2 linked regions of the Oreochromis niloticus genome follow. The protein of the gene in region 1 purifies or fractionates together with the protein of each later gene. This does not show direct contact. Links are inferred from orthologs where the notes say so. Each region holds a gene or a part of one and is shown on either strand. Other genes may lie near its edges.

Region 1 (7,732 bases):
AGTCAAAACTGCCCCCTGCTGCTGCAGTACTCCTCCGGCCCTCTAGGGGGCGTTCTCAGACAAGGGGCCTGTCGACATGTAGCTGAGGAAGAAACGCAGCATGTTGTAGTGTAGCAGGACCTTCAGTGTTTTTGCGAACTTAGTAAAAAAAATGTGGCTCTTCCTTCATTTAGTTATATAATTTACACAGGACAGTCAGACACTGGTTATCGGTCTCAAGGTGAGTCTTTCTTACTGCATACGTGATATCGCGTGCAAACTGAAGAAGGTCATTTTCACATTAGCTGCCAAGCTAACCTGCTAGCATCCATGTATCTGTCAGGGACATCAGCACTGTGAAACAGCTATCAGTCCTCTGTATTTGTGTAATAACCCGTGGCTGTTTCGGCTGGATAAACCCTACAACCTGTATATAATTACTGGGGTTAAACAACTTGTTCTCGGATATGAAATAACCTGCTACCTAAAAAAGCATCTGTGCTGATGGTTCACCCCCTTCACTGAGGTTTAATAAGCAGCGTAGCATGGAGGAAGTCCATTATAAGTGCGTGTAAAGTGTTACCACAATAAATATGAAAGAGTAAAAACTACAGTGTTCCGTGAACATATTTTCTTTTCTGTGAAAAGTATCATAAAATTGAAAAACTGGGAAATGTATTAAAAATATCTCCATGTAAACACACAGATTTTTCCTAATGGCCAGTAAAGAAGAACGAGTGCTCTGTGATGAGGATGTTTCTTCAGTGCTCGTTTTGTTTAACTAGCAGTCAAAAACTCTAAACTTAGCTGTCATATAAGCCATGAAAAAGGGAAAAAATCTCACATTTGAGGATTTTGCAGTTATTACGTGGCACTGTGTGCTAACTAGCGAGGTGAGGTCACTTATCCAGCTTCAAATGATTGTGCTATCATTTCTCTTTGAATAGCAGCACATCCTTATGTACCATGGAGCCTGTAATGCTTCAGCTTTGGCAGAGAGCCTTTCGCCGCCTCCACAGGACCCTGATCCTTCCGAAGAGGTTCGACTCAGGCTGTGCTGAGCAGGCAGCCGTCCCTGCTTCCGCGCCCTCCTGTGGTAGAAAGCCCGTACTTCTGGTGTCTCGTCTCTACCAGCCTTCGAACTTACGTGATGTGGCGCAGGACAGCCGGTTGCCAGGGGAGATGAGCTGCAAGAGCCAGAGGCTCATGCAGCAGGCTGGGCTTATTCATCCATCCAGCCCAGGGTGCTACTACTACCTTCCTGCCACCATCCGCTCCATGGAGAAGCTGGTGAGAGTGATAATAATAATAATAAAGTAATATTATTGGCTGGTTTTGTCCTGCCAAGTAACTGAACTGATAATAGTTTCTTTTTTTAAGAATTTTTTAATACTGTTTTCATTTTGTTAATTTATCCTGGGGCGTGCAAATGCTGTATGAATGTTCCTTTAGATCTTACAAATAATAACACGCTCAATAATTTGCTTTATGACAGGTTCAGAATGACAGTCATCCTCTTACATGGCGTCTATCAAAGCAGTAGTCTGTTGCCACAGGCTCTACATTAGTTTAGGTTGTGAACGTTGTCCAGACAGTCTCTTTTCCCTCTTAGATTATTGTGGATTATAAGATTATAAAACCTAATTAATCTAATCACATAGATTATATGATTATGTAATCGAATATATTAGATTAGATTATATGTTTATTGGGCTAAAATGATAAAGTCAAACAGTAGCTCTTGACTAAAGGGAAAAGGGTACAGAAATGCCTTTTTTTCTAGTTTCCTATCAATTTTTGCGTGATTGCTGATGTTTATCTTCCAACCTCCTGATTTGAACTGCTGTCTTTGATCAACAGGTGAGAGTGATTGACCAGGAGATGCAGGGGATTGGAGGGCAGAAGCTGGACATGCCCAGTTTGTGCTCGGCCGACCTCTGGAAAACCAGTGAGCGCTGGGATTTGATGGGAAAGGAGCTGTTCCGCCTGAAAGACCGGCACGGCGCTGACTACTGCCTGGGTCCCACTCACGAGGAAGCAGTGACGACTCTCGTTGCTCACCAGGCGACTCTCTCCTACAGACAGCTCCCACTGCTTCTTTACCAAGTAAGCATTCAGCCCGTTCTTACTGTCAGTGTTTTTGCTGCAACAAGCTGCAGTTTGTTTGTTTTTTCTGACATGATTTATTTTGGAAAAACCCAAAAAACAGATCACCCGCAAATTCAGAGACGAGCCAAAGCCGAAGTTTGGTCTTCTCCGAGGGAGGGAGTTTTACATGAAGGACATGTACTCCTTTGACGTGAGCGAAGAAGCCGCTCATCAGACGTACGAGTCTGTTTGCCAAGCGTATACTCGGCTCTTCACCAGGTTGGGTCTGCGTTGCGTTCAGGTGCAGGCGGACACGGGAAACATCGGCGGTAAACTGTCCCATGAGTTCCAGCTGCCGGCGGACATCGGCGAGGATCGGCTTCTGGTCTGTGGGAGCTGCTCCTTCTCCGCCAATGTGGAGACCATGTCATCAGACCAGTCCAACTGTCCACAGTGTGAAACTGGGAAACTGGTAGAGTCAAAGGGTATAGAAGTAGGCCACACGTTTTACCTGGGTAAGAAGTACTCTCACATATTCAAAGCCACCTTCAGCAATGCCCAGAACAAGCCGGCTGTCGCCGAGATGGGCTGCTACGGCCTCGGGGTTACGCGAATTCTGGCGGCAGCCGTCGAGGTGATGTCAACGGAAGAGGGGATCCGCTGGCCGGGTCTTATCGCACCTTATCAGGTTTGCGTTTTACCCCCTAAGAAGGGCAGTAAGGTGGATGAGGCAACACTCCTGGCTGAGGAACTGGTCCAAGCTTTGGGAGAAACTCTGCCACAGCTGAGAGGTGAAGTTGTTTTGGATGACCGCACACAGATGACAATCGGAAAGAGGCTGAAGGACGCCAGCAAACTGGGTTATCCATATGTTATTGTAGTAGGACAGGGAGCTCTGGAGGAAACACCCAGGTTTGAGGTGATCTGTCAGCAGACAGGTGAGACAGTGTTCCTCAGTAGAGATGGACTGTTAGATCTACTGGGAAGAGTGGAAACTGTATGAGTAACAAGTTTGAATGTTAGAATAAATGTTTCAGTTTGTGGGTGTGAGGTGGTGGGCATAGATTATTCCATGTTTTCCAAAGCCTTTATCTACACATTGAATAAACGTTTTTTAAACAATAGCTCTGTTATGTACCTGACCTGCATTGTACACTACAACATAATGGAGTCCACAGCTTAATTTTTTTTACAGTGAGTCATGTAATAATCCTAATAAAAATTTAATCTGTACCTGGACAAATCAGTGCTGGTTAGAACCAAATTATGAATGTCGCAAAAAAGTGAGACAGCAAAGAAAAGCAAAGTTGGTAAATATATTCCCATTGTTTAGTAGTATTTAGAGTGGTATCCTACAATGCAGATATCCCTTGTAAGTAGGCCAGTATACAGCATGAAGTACATGAGAATTTGTCACAACATGAATGTAATAAAACACTCAACCAGATTGGGAGTGAGATCAGTGTGTCACAGTAAACTTAACTTGTCTTAAGATAAGATAAGATGACCTTTATTAGTCCCACAGGTGGGAAACTTGTTTTGTTACAGCAAAGTGCAAAGTTATGTAGCAGAAATGAGAAAACACTGGAAAGCAATAAAATAAAATACCATATACAATAGAATAAAATAGAATAGAATAATATCTACAATAGAATAAAATGGAAATACAAATACTATATACAACTGAGTAGGAAAATACAAAAATACAACTTCGTCAGAAGAAGAATTGCACATATACTTGTGTAATAAAAGACCCTTTTCAGAGCTGACGTTTTATGGGACATTCGGCCGCATTCACACAGTTTCAGGTTCTCTCTTTTAATAAGCATCTGATTATTTTATTTCACACAGGTCAGAGGACAAAGCAACAGTTGAAAATTATACATGCATATACATACACTGACATTAACGATGTCCATGGTCCCTGAAAAATTAAAATAAATGCAAGTTTATTTTTTAGCACAAAAATAGTTATCCCAGTGCATGTTGTAAAGCAAGGACCTCAAAATGTGGACAAAAAGCCAAGAGTTACGCTACAGTGGGGGCAGTGTTAGCGTTGCTTTCCATGGTGCACACAAGTAAGGCTGAAATAATTAACGGGATAATTAGAAAAGAAACTTCCACCTATTTAATAATACTAAGTGTAACGGTGCTTTGAGAGCATTACTTCTGCCGTCGGAGCTTCGGAGCAACTTCGTACCACGAGGAGTGGAACGCTCTGCCGGAAGTGAGTTTCCACACGGATTTTTTCGCATGTGGCACCGCTGTTACACATGTGTAAACAAGGCAACTTGAGGAACGGTTAGCTGGACAGACTGCTGTCAGCGTTAATGTAAGATTTAAAAACAAGAAGCAGCTCTTTAAAGTATATTTTGATCCAAAATGGCGTCCACAGTACACAGTGACAGCGACGATGGCATGGACGCGTTCATGGACAAATTCAAGACCCAGCGGTATAAAAATGCCTTCAGTGAAAACGACTGGGAGGAGGTAACGTTGGCTTGCGGAGACTATGTGCACTAGATACAAAGCCACTTGAACCCGAATGAAATGTGTTAGCACGTCTTTGTTTTTATTGATGGTGGTTAGCAATAAGATGCTAACATGCTCAGTACCTCGTGAAGATATCAAAAGTAGAATCGGTACCAATGCTGGTATCGGATCGATACTAGCGCGATAGAATCGACACTTTGCTTCTATTCTCCACGTTCAGTTTGTAGCCCAATGAATTGTTTTAAATTAAGTTATTTTTATTGGTAATGTAAAATATACCTCAAACATACACTATGGAAAATGTCTGAACCTTTCTGTGTTGACTGTCACATGTATTTTATTTATAGCCCACAGACACATTTAGGTTCGAGCTCCCCTCCCCAAAAAATTCAGTTTCAAAATACATGAAGCTGAAAGGTAAAAATCACAGTGATTATTAAAATGTGTTCAGAGTTTGCAAATTAATGATGGTTAATCTCCGACTCTGTATGCTGCCCTTAGAGGTTAAAAGTATTAAAGTGTCCATATTGGTAACGGCATTACTGGCCTTGGCTTTACTTGTATCAGATAATACCAAAATTTACTGCTGTCTCACGCAGGAGTTTAATAAAATACCCATGTTCATGAAAAATGCCCCTGAAGAGATCGACCCACAGAAATACCCAGAACTAGCCTGCCTCCAGTCCATTATCCACGACGAAGACCGGCCTCCTGAAGGTATGCGAACCACAGCTTTCTCTCCTCCAAGCCTTTGAAGCTGCTCGGTATGTATTCGTTGAAAACAGTTGAATAAATGTGAGAAACACGTTCTTTTCCAGAGCAAGCAAAAAGCCTGAAAGATGAAGGCAATGCGTATTTCAAAGAGAAGAACTACCAAAAAGCGGTGGTGGCCTACACAGCGGGTTTGAAGAAGAAATGTGCAGACCAGGACCTCAATGCTGTCCTCCTCACCAACCGTGCAGCATCACACTTTTACCTTGGTAAAAAAAAAAAAAAAAGCATCCAAATGTCCTTTCGCTCTCACAAAAGATGACATTGTTTAAAAAAAATATGTCTGTGTTTTTCTTTTTTCCGTGACTCAGGAAACATGCGCTCTGCTTTGAATGATGCTGCAGCTGCAAAGAAGCTCAAGCCAGACCACCTGAAAGCCTTGATCAGAGGTGTGTAATGTTTTTAACATGTACTGCTATGATATGATGACATTGTGTTACTAGGCATGGAAATCTAGTACTGGTTTCAATAGAATAGAAGAATAGAATAGAATAGAATAGAATAGAATAATCCTTTAATTGTCCCACAAGGGGAAATTTGGTTGTAACAGCAGCCAGAAAGACACATATACAAACAAACAGTACACAGAACAGAAACATACACAATTTTTCTTACATATTTACATTAAGGACAATGGTTACTATAAACAGAGTACTGTACAGTTATTAAATTAAATATAAATAACTACAGATAAGAGGTAAACCAGGTTGTAGTGCGAATCGGTTGATTAACTTATTGCAGTTACAGCGCAGATGTAAACATCTATGATTGTTGGGAGCAGTTCTGATTGTACAGTCTGACAGCTGCAGGGAGGAAGGACCTGCGGAAACACTCCTTCATGCATCTAGGATGCAGCAGTCTGTCACTGAAGGAGCTCTGCAGTTCAGCAACATTTCCATGCATGGGGTGGGAGACTCTGTCCATCAGAGATGTTATTTTGGCCAGAGTCCTTCTGTCTCCCACCACCTGCACTGGGTCCAGGGTGCATCCCAGAACAGAGCTGGCCTTCCTGATGAGTTTATCCAACCTCTTCCTCTCAACTGCCGATAAACTGCTGCTCCAACATACCACACTGTAAAAAATGACAGATCCCTGGATGTTCACCGGTGTCAGTGTGGTGGGTCTGCGTCTCCGGAAGTCCACCACCAACTCCTTGGTTTTCCCGGCGTTGATCAGCAGGTGGTTCTGCTGACACCAGTCTACAAAGTCCAGAGTCCACTGTCTGTTCAGTTTAGAAGCTCCAGATTTCTGTCTGTTTATCTCTTAGAAAGCAAATGAATCCCATGTTTGTGCTTCTGCAGGCGCTCAGTGTTGTATAGAGCTGCGCCACTTTTCAGAGGCCATCCAGTGGTGTGACGAGGGGCTCAAGGTTCATCCTACTGACAAAAAGCTGCGGGAGCTGAGAGCAGTGGCAGATAAGCACAAAGTAACTACACTTCAGATGATCCTTGTCTTTTAATATATTATTTTTAGAAGTGGCGAAAACTTTAAAGCGCTGAAATAAACCTTGATTTGTTTTTGGTATCTTAGAGAGCAGCAGAGAGAGATGCCAGGAAGGCCAAGGCTAAAGAAAAGAAGTTGCATGGTGAGAAAGAAGCTCTTCTAAATGCCATAAAGGTAAGCATTAGAGATGAGCATCTAACGTCGCACGCGTCACACACATATTTGTATTTGACACTAATTGGCAGCTACCTGCCCGGCCGCTGCTGCAGATTTGTAGTTAGAAATCACAAGTCCAGCTGCTGCCACAGCCCTGCTGGAGGCGCCTAGCTATCAAGTCCAAGCCCAGCCACAGGCTCGTAGTTATTGGGCCCGTCACCGGATGATGCGTTAGCAGCGCAGGTCTCGTCTTCACCCTTGGGCCAGGGCAACCGCCACAAACCATCCGATTCTGCAAGGGGCTTAAGTCAAGAGGCTGACCCTACATATTAGAAGATGCATCTTAAACTGCCTTCACTATCTAAGTGAAAAATGAACACAGAGAACGAAATTATATCAGTTATGATTTTGGCATCTATACACAGGATCGAGGCATCAAACTCGTGCAGCCTGTGAGGGCTCATCGGAGCGGTTCCGACAGTGAAGATGAGGATGAACGCTCTCCTGCGGCGATAGCGGAGCTCAGCCTGGATGGCCTCAGCTCTCAGGAGGTCACCGGGGCTCAGGTCTTCGTAGATGAGCAGGGCTCTCTGCAGTGGCCCGTTCTCTTTCTCTACCCCGAACATCAGCAGAGTGACTTCATCTCGGCTTTCTGTGAAAACAGCTGGTAAACGACTCCTGCCCTCAGTGACCAAGATTAAGCTAAATTTATATACAAATATCACTGATGATCGTTTTGATTATACATTCCTCCACTCTATGATCTGTGACCTGTTTCAGATATCTTTTGACCAAAATAAGA
Region 2 (7,459 bases), on another chromosome or scaffold:
GATGTAAGAATATCTTAAGGCTTGGATGGTGTTGAGCAGTTGGTAGCTGCCAGCACTTGCAGGGTGTCAGACTGGTCAGAATCGTCTCGTCCGAACCACATAAACTGCTCCCCCGCCTGTGCCAAAGCTGCCTCTGCAGACTTCTGCCTGTGGTTGTGAGGGAAGCGCCGGTTTCTGGATGCAGAGTCAACAACCTCTTTCACTATGAAGTCACTCTGGTAGGCTGTGACGTTCCCTCGAGTCTCTTTGGTGCCATTGTCAGTTCCACCATGGCACAGGCAGAAACGGGAGATGTGCTGTCTGCGATCATCAAGACACCTTCTCCTTCCCACACTCTGAAGTACATCAACATAGAATAGAAACGGTCTCCTTTAAAGGTATAATGTGGTGAATCTTGTGTTCAGCAAAGCCTTGAACCTTTCCCTACATACTTACATGAGAGAATACAATGACGTCGTCTTTCAAGGCATGCTTGTTGTCATGGTCTGAGAAGGGATACTCTCTGGATTTCTGCAAGTTAACCCATAAAACACATACTGGGACAGCAACTAAATACACAACTGATAGCAAGTCCAAGAAAAACTATCAAGGCCACTGGCAGTGACTAAAAGGCCATGCCTTATCTACATACACACCTGCTGACTTTTCCATTTAGGATAGCGTTGAAAGTTTAAAGCCTGAGGCAATGATGACTTCACTTGAGTCAGCATGATCCCAGTGCTTGTACAGTTCTCTTGAGTCTTTGTCTCATTTTCTGATAAACCTGAATGAGCAAACTGGGAACAAAATGAAGGAAAACTTAATTACACATCTAGGTTTAGAATGCTATGATTTAATTATCCAATGAAATGAAGACTTCTTACCCATTTGCAATCAGTGCTCACTGAAAAATGCCGCTTTCCGCCTTTTACCATTTTCCCACTACAGCTTGAGGTGTTTAGACCACAATCAGTAAAACCAAACAAGCACTCCACACACTGTGCAACTTAACTACTAATGCCAACACTGGTGACCATGGAAACAGGCAGCAAACAAACTGCAATCAGATCCTAGAGATCGGAACTGAATTCTGATGATTAAAACAAAACAAAAAAACAACCCCAAACATTTTGAAATATTTCAGATTTGTGATTAAACAGAATGAGAAATAGCCCACAATGAAATTCTTAGTATTTAATATTTAATCAATTAAGGAATACAACATGCAATGTTTAAAATGATAGTCTTTGTTCAGGAGAGGGGATTAAAAAAAAAAAAAAAAAGGCATAAAAGTCTCTTTATTTTCTTTTACAGGTGATAAAGAAGACAGTAACACATAATTACATACAAGAGTGTACAGTAAACTAACACTGAGCTTGATTTTTCAAAATTATTAAATGTTTAATTTGTTGAACAGTAATTAAAATGTTAAAAAAAAAAACCCTCAAACAACTGAAAACCAGATGAAGTTGTTTCAAAGGTTAATTTATTAAAAGAAAAAGAATCATAGAACCAGAAGGGTTTGAAGCGTTGATCATGAAGACGACGTCCACATGTGATCAGCTAAACTTCAGGGTGACTTGTGATGTAAAATTAGGCACTAACTATACGTCACAAACAAATTTGCATAGTATAGTGGATCTTTAAATATATTTTTAGATAAATAATAAAAAATAAAATAGATCCATGTGAGCAATTTGTCCTAACGAAAGAAAAACAAACTACATTTTCATTATTTATGTCATCATTTCATCTATAAGCACTGGGGAGAAGAAAAAAAAGTTCTCCCTGGGATCTGAAGGGAATATTAGGCCTGTGGTGGACCCGAGACATGACACTGGTCTGGGAGTCCACTGTGCATATCTGTTGGAATATTGATCCCTGAGGACAAGATAGGCAGACACAAAACAATTACCATTGATTCTTTTGACCAAACATTGAATTAAAGGTCTTGAGCTGTAGATTAAAGTGGCTGGAAACTGTAAAAAAAAACATGACTTTGATGTATTCACTATTATTGCAACATTCATACATTTTAGAATTCATTTTAAAATCTTGGTACTGACTTTTAAAGCTTTGAATTGTGATGCCCCTGCCTACATTTCTGATCTGTTAGAACTTCACGCTCCCTCTCGCAGCCTGAGATCATCTAATCAAAGGCTGTTGGTAGTCCCACGAACACGTTTTAAGACCAGAGGAGAGAGATCTTTTAGAGCGGTGGCCTCCAGGTTGTGGAATGCTCTCCCTCCATCATTACGTTGCCTTGATTGTATTTATTCTTTTAAAAAGCAGCTTAAGACTCATTTATTTAGACTGGCTTTTAATTAGATTTGTGCTGAATGTTTGATTGTGCTATTTTTTTACGTATATCTGTATATTTTTATGTATATCTGTGTTGAATTGAATTGAAAAAAAATTCTTGCTTAAAAATAGCATTATATCAAAGTGGTTGCACATGAATTTCCTATTAAATTCTTAATTACTATTAGGTTTTATTAGTAGTTGGGTCCAAGAGTTCCTATTCAGTACTTCATGTACAGTAACTCTTATGAAGTTGCCACTGCTATCTAGTTAGATGGTTAAAAACAAACAGACAAACCAAAGAATATAATTTTGCACTATTCTCTTATTTTTCCATTAGCCTTTTGTGTATCATATTACCAGCTCACCACTAAGACACACCTTTCTTTAACCTACGACATAAAGCTTCTTAATTTAAAAAGCAAAAAGGGCGGCCTAAAAGTCAGCCATTTGTTTGCATCTAATGTGTGTTAATATCTATATGCAGATTCTTACTCTGAATGGCTGATGTAGACTGTGCTGCATCACTGGAAGAGTTGGTCAGTGTGGGCTCACGCTCTTTCCCCACACCTTTCTGGAGGCGCTTCTTCAGATGTTTGGTCAAATGTTGCCACCTGGTAAAAGGGAGCAGTCCCAGATAACTTTTCAGCTTTAAAGTGTGATTATGCTATCATATAAAGTTAACACGTTTAAATTTTTGAGCTTTGCAAGTCACACAGAACTCATTATCTCACCTTGCCTGAGTGACATTGTAATTATTCAGCCTGTCCGCTTCCTCTTTTTTTTCCTCCATCCATCGCTGCAATAGCCGTTCTTTCTCTCCCAGTGCATCTGCAAGAGCTTCCTTTAGGCATTGCCGATCCACACGCAGGGCTGCTAACTCTTTGGATTGACACTCTATGGTGAACTCATATTCTGAAAGGGCTTCCTTCAGGGTGTTACTCCCTTTAGCCAGAGTAAGTGCCTCTTGATGGAACTGAGACACACTGTAACAGCAAAGTATTATAATGGTGACGAACTGATCCCTTATATTCTGAATACAAAATCCCAACAATCGACCTAATCGACCTCCCAACCTAAGCTGGAAAATTATACTTCTTTATTTCAGTGGTTCAGTATTCCTATGAATATAAAATAAGTTTATTATATGACCAAATTAACTATTTACTAGGATTAATCGGCAACATATTGAGCAATTATGGGGAAACTTAATTTGAAAATTACCTTTACTAGATCTGAAATATACCATGAATTAACACTTACCTCAATCTGGTCCATCATGTGTTGCTTTTACATTGTCTGTGCGTTATTTTAATCTTGGAATCATAGTCGTACTGACCAAGGTATTTGAATTACCGTGATTGCCAGTACTGTAGTTCAGCTTCTTTGAGATGGAGGACGGTGGTTAGGTCGGAGACAGTTTGAGATAACTGGGTAGACAAAACAAAGGGTGGAGTGACCCAGTTCAAAAGCAGACAACAGCACACACCCATTAAAGATGATTATTAAAGTATTTTCTCCACTCCTCTGAACCAGTTGCAATAATGAATGTTTATTTATTTATTCATTTTTTAAAATAAAGTTCAAATGCTTTGAAAGTTGTTTCAGATTGTCAGATGTGGTGTTCGTGCATATCAATGCAAATATGCTGCTCTGCATTTTACGTAGACGTCTTCCCTGTAGTGGAGGTTTTGAGCCTCTGGGGCGTTTAATCATTGGATTACTCCTCATTTAACCCACCTTATCTACCAGGTGCTCACTCTCTCTCAGCTGGAGTCGAAGCAGTGTGGCGTTTCCCCCAACCTCAACTCCATGTCTTTCTAAACTGAAAAAAAAACCAAAAAAAAAACAAGCGTGCAGATTTAAAATACTTTACAAAAAAAAAAAAAAAAATCAAGCAGAGGACAAACCGATCAGCACAAGCGCCAGATGTAGGGTAAGTTAAATTCTGCATTTCTAACCTCTGAGACTGAACATCAGCCAAAATCTCTTCGCGAAGTTCAAAGCGTTCCTCCAGCTGAGACACTAAAAGAAAACAGACAAACGTCCTTAGGTTCTGATAGAGAGGACAACATCAAGAGAGGCAGAGAAAAGTTAATCTTACAGCTTGTGAAAACGCCAACAAACGGGAGCTTTTCTCTGTGGTCCCTATGCTGCAGCCCTTGGCGCACGTGATTCTTCCAACTTTCCATTATAATGGACACTTTAAGGAAAAACCTCTCACGTTTGCGCATCCAGAATAGACTATACTAAAGCAGCGGGAATACAGCGTCTTCAGCCCTCACATGAAGTCTGTGCCATCCACGCAGGAATTAAATGCACTCAGCAAAGTTTCACAGCTCCTCCCTGTTCACTGATCAGCGTGACATTCCTGGCTAGACATTCTTACAAGGATCCATATTGTATTATATTATATTATATGATATTATATTATATTATATTATGGACAGGAGAAACATTAGTACTCGAATATAATTACTTAAATGCTTAACTTGTCCCTCCACTGCTAATATTTTCATGACTTATCATCTCATAATTTATACAAAAATATCCCTGCACCTAAATGTTTTTGTTTGTGATACTTTTTTTTTTTTTTTTAAAAGTATCACAACTTTTTACGGGTTTTTAACAGCTGAACAGAATTGCACTGCAATTGTTTGCATACCTCACACTGAATCAAATTGTTTAAAAATAGAAAAATCACACCACATGCAAAGCTCACGTTAAATTAAAAACAGTGGTGTAAACAGTCAATTTCAGAATAAAAGGTATCAGAAGAACGTGCTCCACTTTTCCAGAAAGAACTTATGAAAATACTTCCGGTTCATCTATTTTTCACAATAAATCGTTTCAGATAAAATATTTTTCCTTGACTAAAACAAATATCCAAAGTTATAGCCTTCAAATGTAAATGTAAATATTTTAATATTATTGAAAAGTTTTATTCTTCGAAACTACTGATAAAATTAGTTTTGTAACTCTTTTTGCCTTGAAACAGGAAGTTGTTGTTGGCTTATTGCTAGCACTTGCGACTGCTCTGTCAATAGACTGGCTGCAGGCTACAGGCTTGTGTAAGTAGTCACGGAGCTAAGAGCTAAACATTAGTCGTTTACAAAGCAATGAAAACTGTTCGCCTTCGTGTCGTTTAGGTTTAATTAGTCTAGTGAAACTTTCATTTTACAGCTTTACGTGTCAGCGTTTCTTTATCGAGGAGCTAGCTTGTCTAGCTAACTAACTTTGCCAACATGTTGACTTACCTCATTCGTTGACTGATGTATAGACGGTCCACGGCTTGTCGAAGCCATGGATATGTTATTTGTTTATTAAATCGGAGTTGTTTGGTGAATTAGATCTTCGTATGTCCAGTATGAGCGCATCAACTGGAGACGGAGAGCCTTGCATCCCCTTGGATAATGCAAAGGAAGAAGTCAGTGGTCCTACCTGCACTGGAGACAACAGTAAACATGTAAGTAACTAGTCTGCAAGGATAATCTACCATCTAGTATGTTGTCATGTGTAACACTCATTAATTAGTATTTGAAGTGCTAATGTTGAGTTAGGCCACAGTGGATTTATAGTGCCATCTGTAAACATGCTATAGCTTTAGTGAGAGTGGGAAGCAGGTGAAGGAGAGCCTGATGAGGTGGTGGAATGCTCTGGAGAGAAGAATGAAGGTCAAGAGAAGCAAGCCATAATACGTGTGAGTTAATAAGAGCGAGACAGGTGACAGGGGAGCGAGACAGTGTAGATGAAAGGAGTAGAATTAGTGAAGGTAAAGGATTTCATATGCCTGGGGTCATCATCATCAAGTAACGGACAGTACACAAGAGCATTGAAGAAGCGAGTGCATACAGGGTGGAGAGGGTGGAGAGGAGTTCCAGGTGTGATTAGTGACAAAAGGACATCAAAAAGGCCTACAAACCTTCTGTGATATATGGTTTGGAGACTGCGGCACTGACAAAAAGGGCATTTGGGTATTTGCAGGAGAGGGATAGTGGATTCACTGGACAAAAGATGTTAAATATGGAGCTGGAGGGGAAAAAGGAAGACAACTGATGAGATCTGTGGATGCAGTGAAGAAGGAAATGCAGAGAGTTGGTTTGACAGAGCATGATGGTACAGATGGGTTGAAAGGAGGCAGATGATCAACTGTGGTGATCCCAAAAGGGTGCAGCTGACAGAAGAACATCAGTGTGCATAGTATACTCATGATAATCAACTGCCAGACATATCCTTATTTAAAAAGATAAGGCTTGGAGCCAAGATCTTTATCATACATTTCAGTAAAAACGAAATTGTTACTCTGTCAGTGCTGTCCATTCATTCTCATAACTTCACACTAATAAGCTTGATATTGTTATTTGTAGGAATCAGCAATATGCTCAGGCAGCAGTGAAATCAAAAGCCGTGCTGTGGTCAAGTACTGTGCAGCCCCACCACCTACCAGCTATGCCCTTCTGCAGGAAAAGACCGACTTGAAGCTACCTCCTGCCAACTGGCTGAGAGAAAACCCCCAGCTGGGCACCGCTGGGACCACTATATTAGGATCTAGCAGCAAGAGCAAGCCCTTTTCCAGGTATAACTTAGAAAAGGGGGCACGTATTCCGTTTTTATGGGAAAGATTGAATTTGAATTGATGTCAAGCTCATGATTGAGGTACATAGGCACCACTTTTATCATTACACCAAGAATAATATCTTTTGTTTAAATGTAATTTGCGACCCATGAAGACTGATACTCTATCCACAATAAACAAGGTGTGGAATAGAGTATTGCATAGTTGCAAAACTATGGTTCAAACTCACAGTGGAGGACTTTTCACTACATAATTCAAAGTACTAAAACCCCTCAAGCTGCTGCACTTTCATTTAGGATGTGAGTGGGTGAATTATGGATACAGTTGAAGACGAAGACTTTAATTATTGCTCATCAGTCTAATTGTTACACAGTTAGTTTGTATTGAGTAAACTGTTTTTCTTCTTTTGCAGTTTTGGGATGGCGTACGAGTTCATCGATTGCATCGGAGATGATGTTGATGTGGTTTCAGACTCAGAGGTTTGTGGAGCTGCTGCAGAGCTATTTCTTTGTTAGCTACAGAAGCATGCAGTTGATGTTAACAGAATTCTTTTTCACCTTCAGAACATCAAGAAGCTTTTGAAAATTCCCTACAGCAAGTCCC

Evidence for each region.
Region 2: the proteins of ttc4 (region 1) and edrf1 purify together in Homo sapiens (affinity purification with mass spectrometry; 3 studies listed by BioGRID and IntAct, counting the BioPlex papers as one, with this or other methods). This does not show direct contact. The link is inferred for Oreochromis niloticus from reciprocal best matches to the Homo sapiens genes TTC4 and EDRF1.

The regions. Positions count from the first base shown.
Region 1 is NC_031981.2:3,039,499-3,047,230, forward strand, and holds the start of ttc4 (tetratricopeptide repeat protein 4), read left to right. Parts: upstream 1-4,300; 5' UTR 4,301-4,449; coding exon 4,450-4,557; intron 4,558-5,159; coding exon 5,160-5,277; intron 5,278-5,378; coding exon 5,379-5,540; intron 5,541-5,642; coding exon 5,643-5,720; intron 5,721-6,632; coding exon 6,633-6,757; intron 6,758-6,861; coding exon 6,862-6,948; intron 6,949-7,355; coding exon 7,356-7,597; intron 7,598-7,732. Other genes in the region: pars2 (putative proline--tRNA ligase, mitochondrial), read left to right, coding at 946-1,269, 1,840-2,085, 2,189-3,070.
Region 2 is NC_031978.2:13,923,748-13,931,206, forward strand, and holds the start of edrf1 (erythroid differentiation-related factor 1), read left to right. Parts: upstream 1-4,110; 5' UTR 4,111-4,216; intron 4,217-4,241; coding exon of another isoform or gene 4,242-4,305; intron 4,306-4,384; coding exon of another isoform or gene 4,385-4,514; exon of another isoform or gene 4,515-4,666; intron 4,667-5,261; exon of another isoform or gene 5,262-5,351; intron 5,352-5,630; 5' UTR 5,631-5,638; coding exon 5,639-5,746; intron 5,747-6,647; coding exon 6,648-6,856; intron 6,857-7,268; coding exon 7,269-7,335; intron 7,336-7,419; coding exon 7,420-7,459. Other genes in the region: tex36 (testis-expressed protein 36), read right to left, coding at 15-335, 436-510, 636-776, 864-914; si:ch1073-143l10.2 (autophagy-related protein 16-1), read right to left, coding at 1,787-1,860, 2,776-2,894, 3,015-3,266, 3,637-3,710, 4,021-4,105, 4,242-4,305, 4,385-4,514. UniProt on the Homo sapiens protein: Transcription factor involved in erythroid differentiation. Involved in transcriptional activation of the globin gene.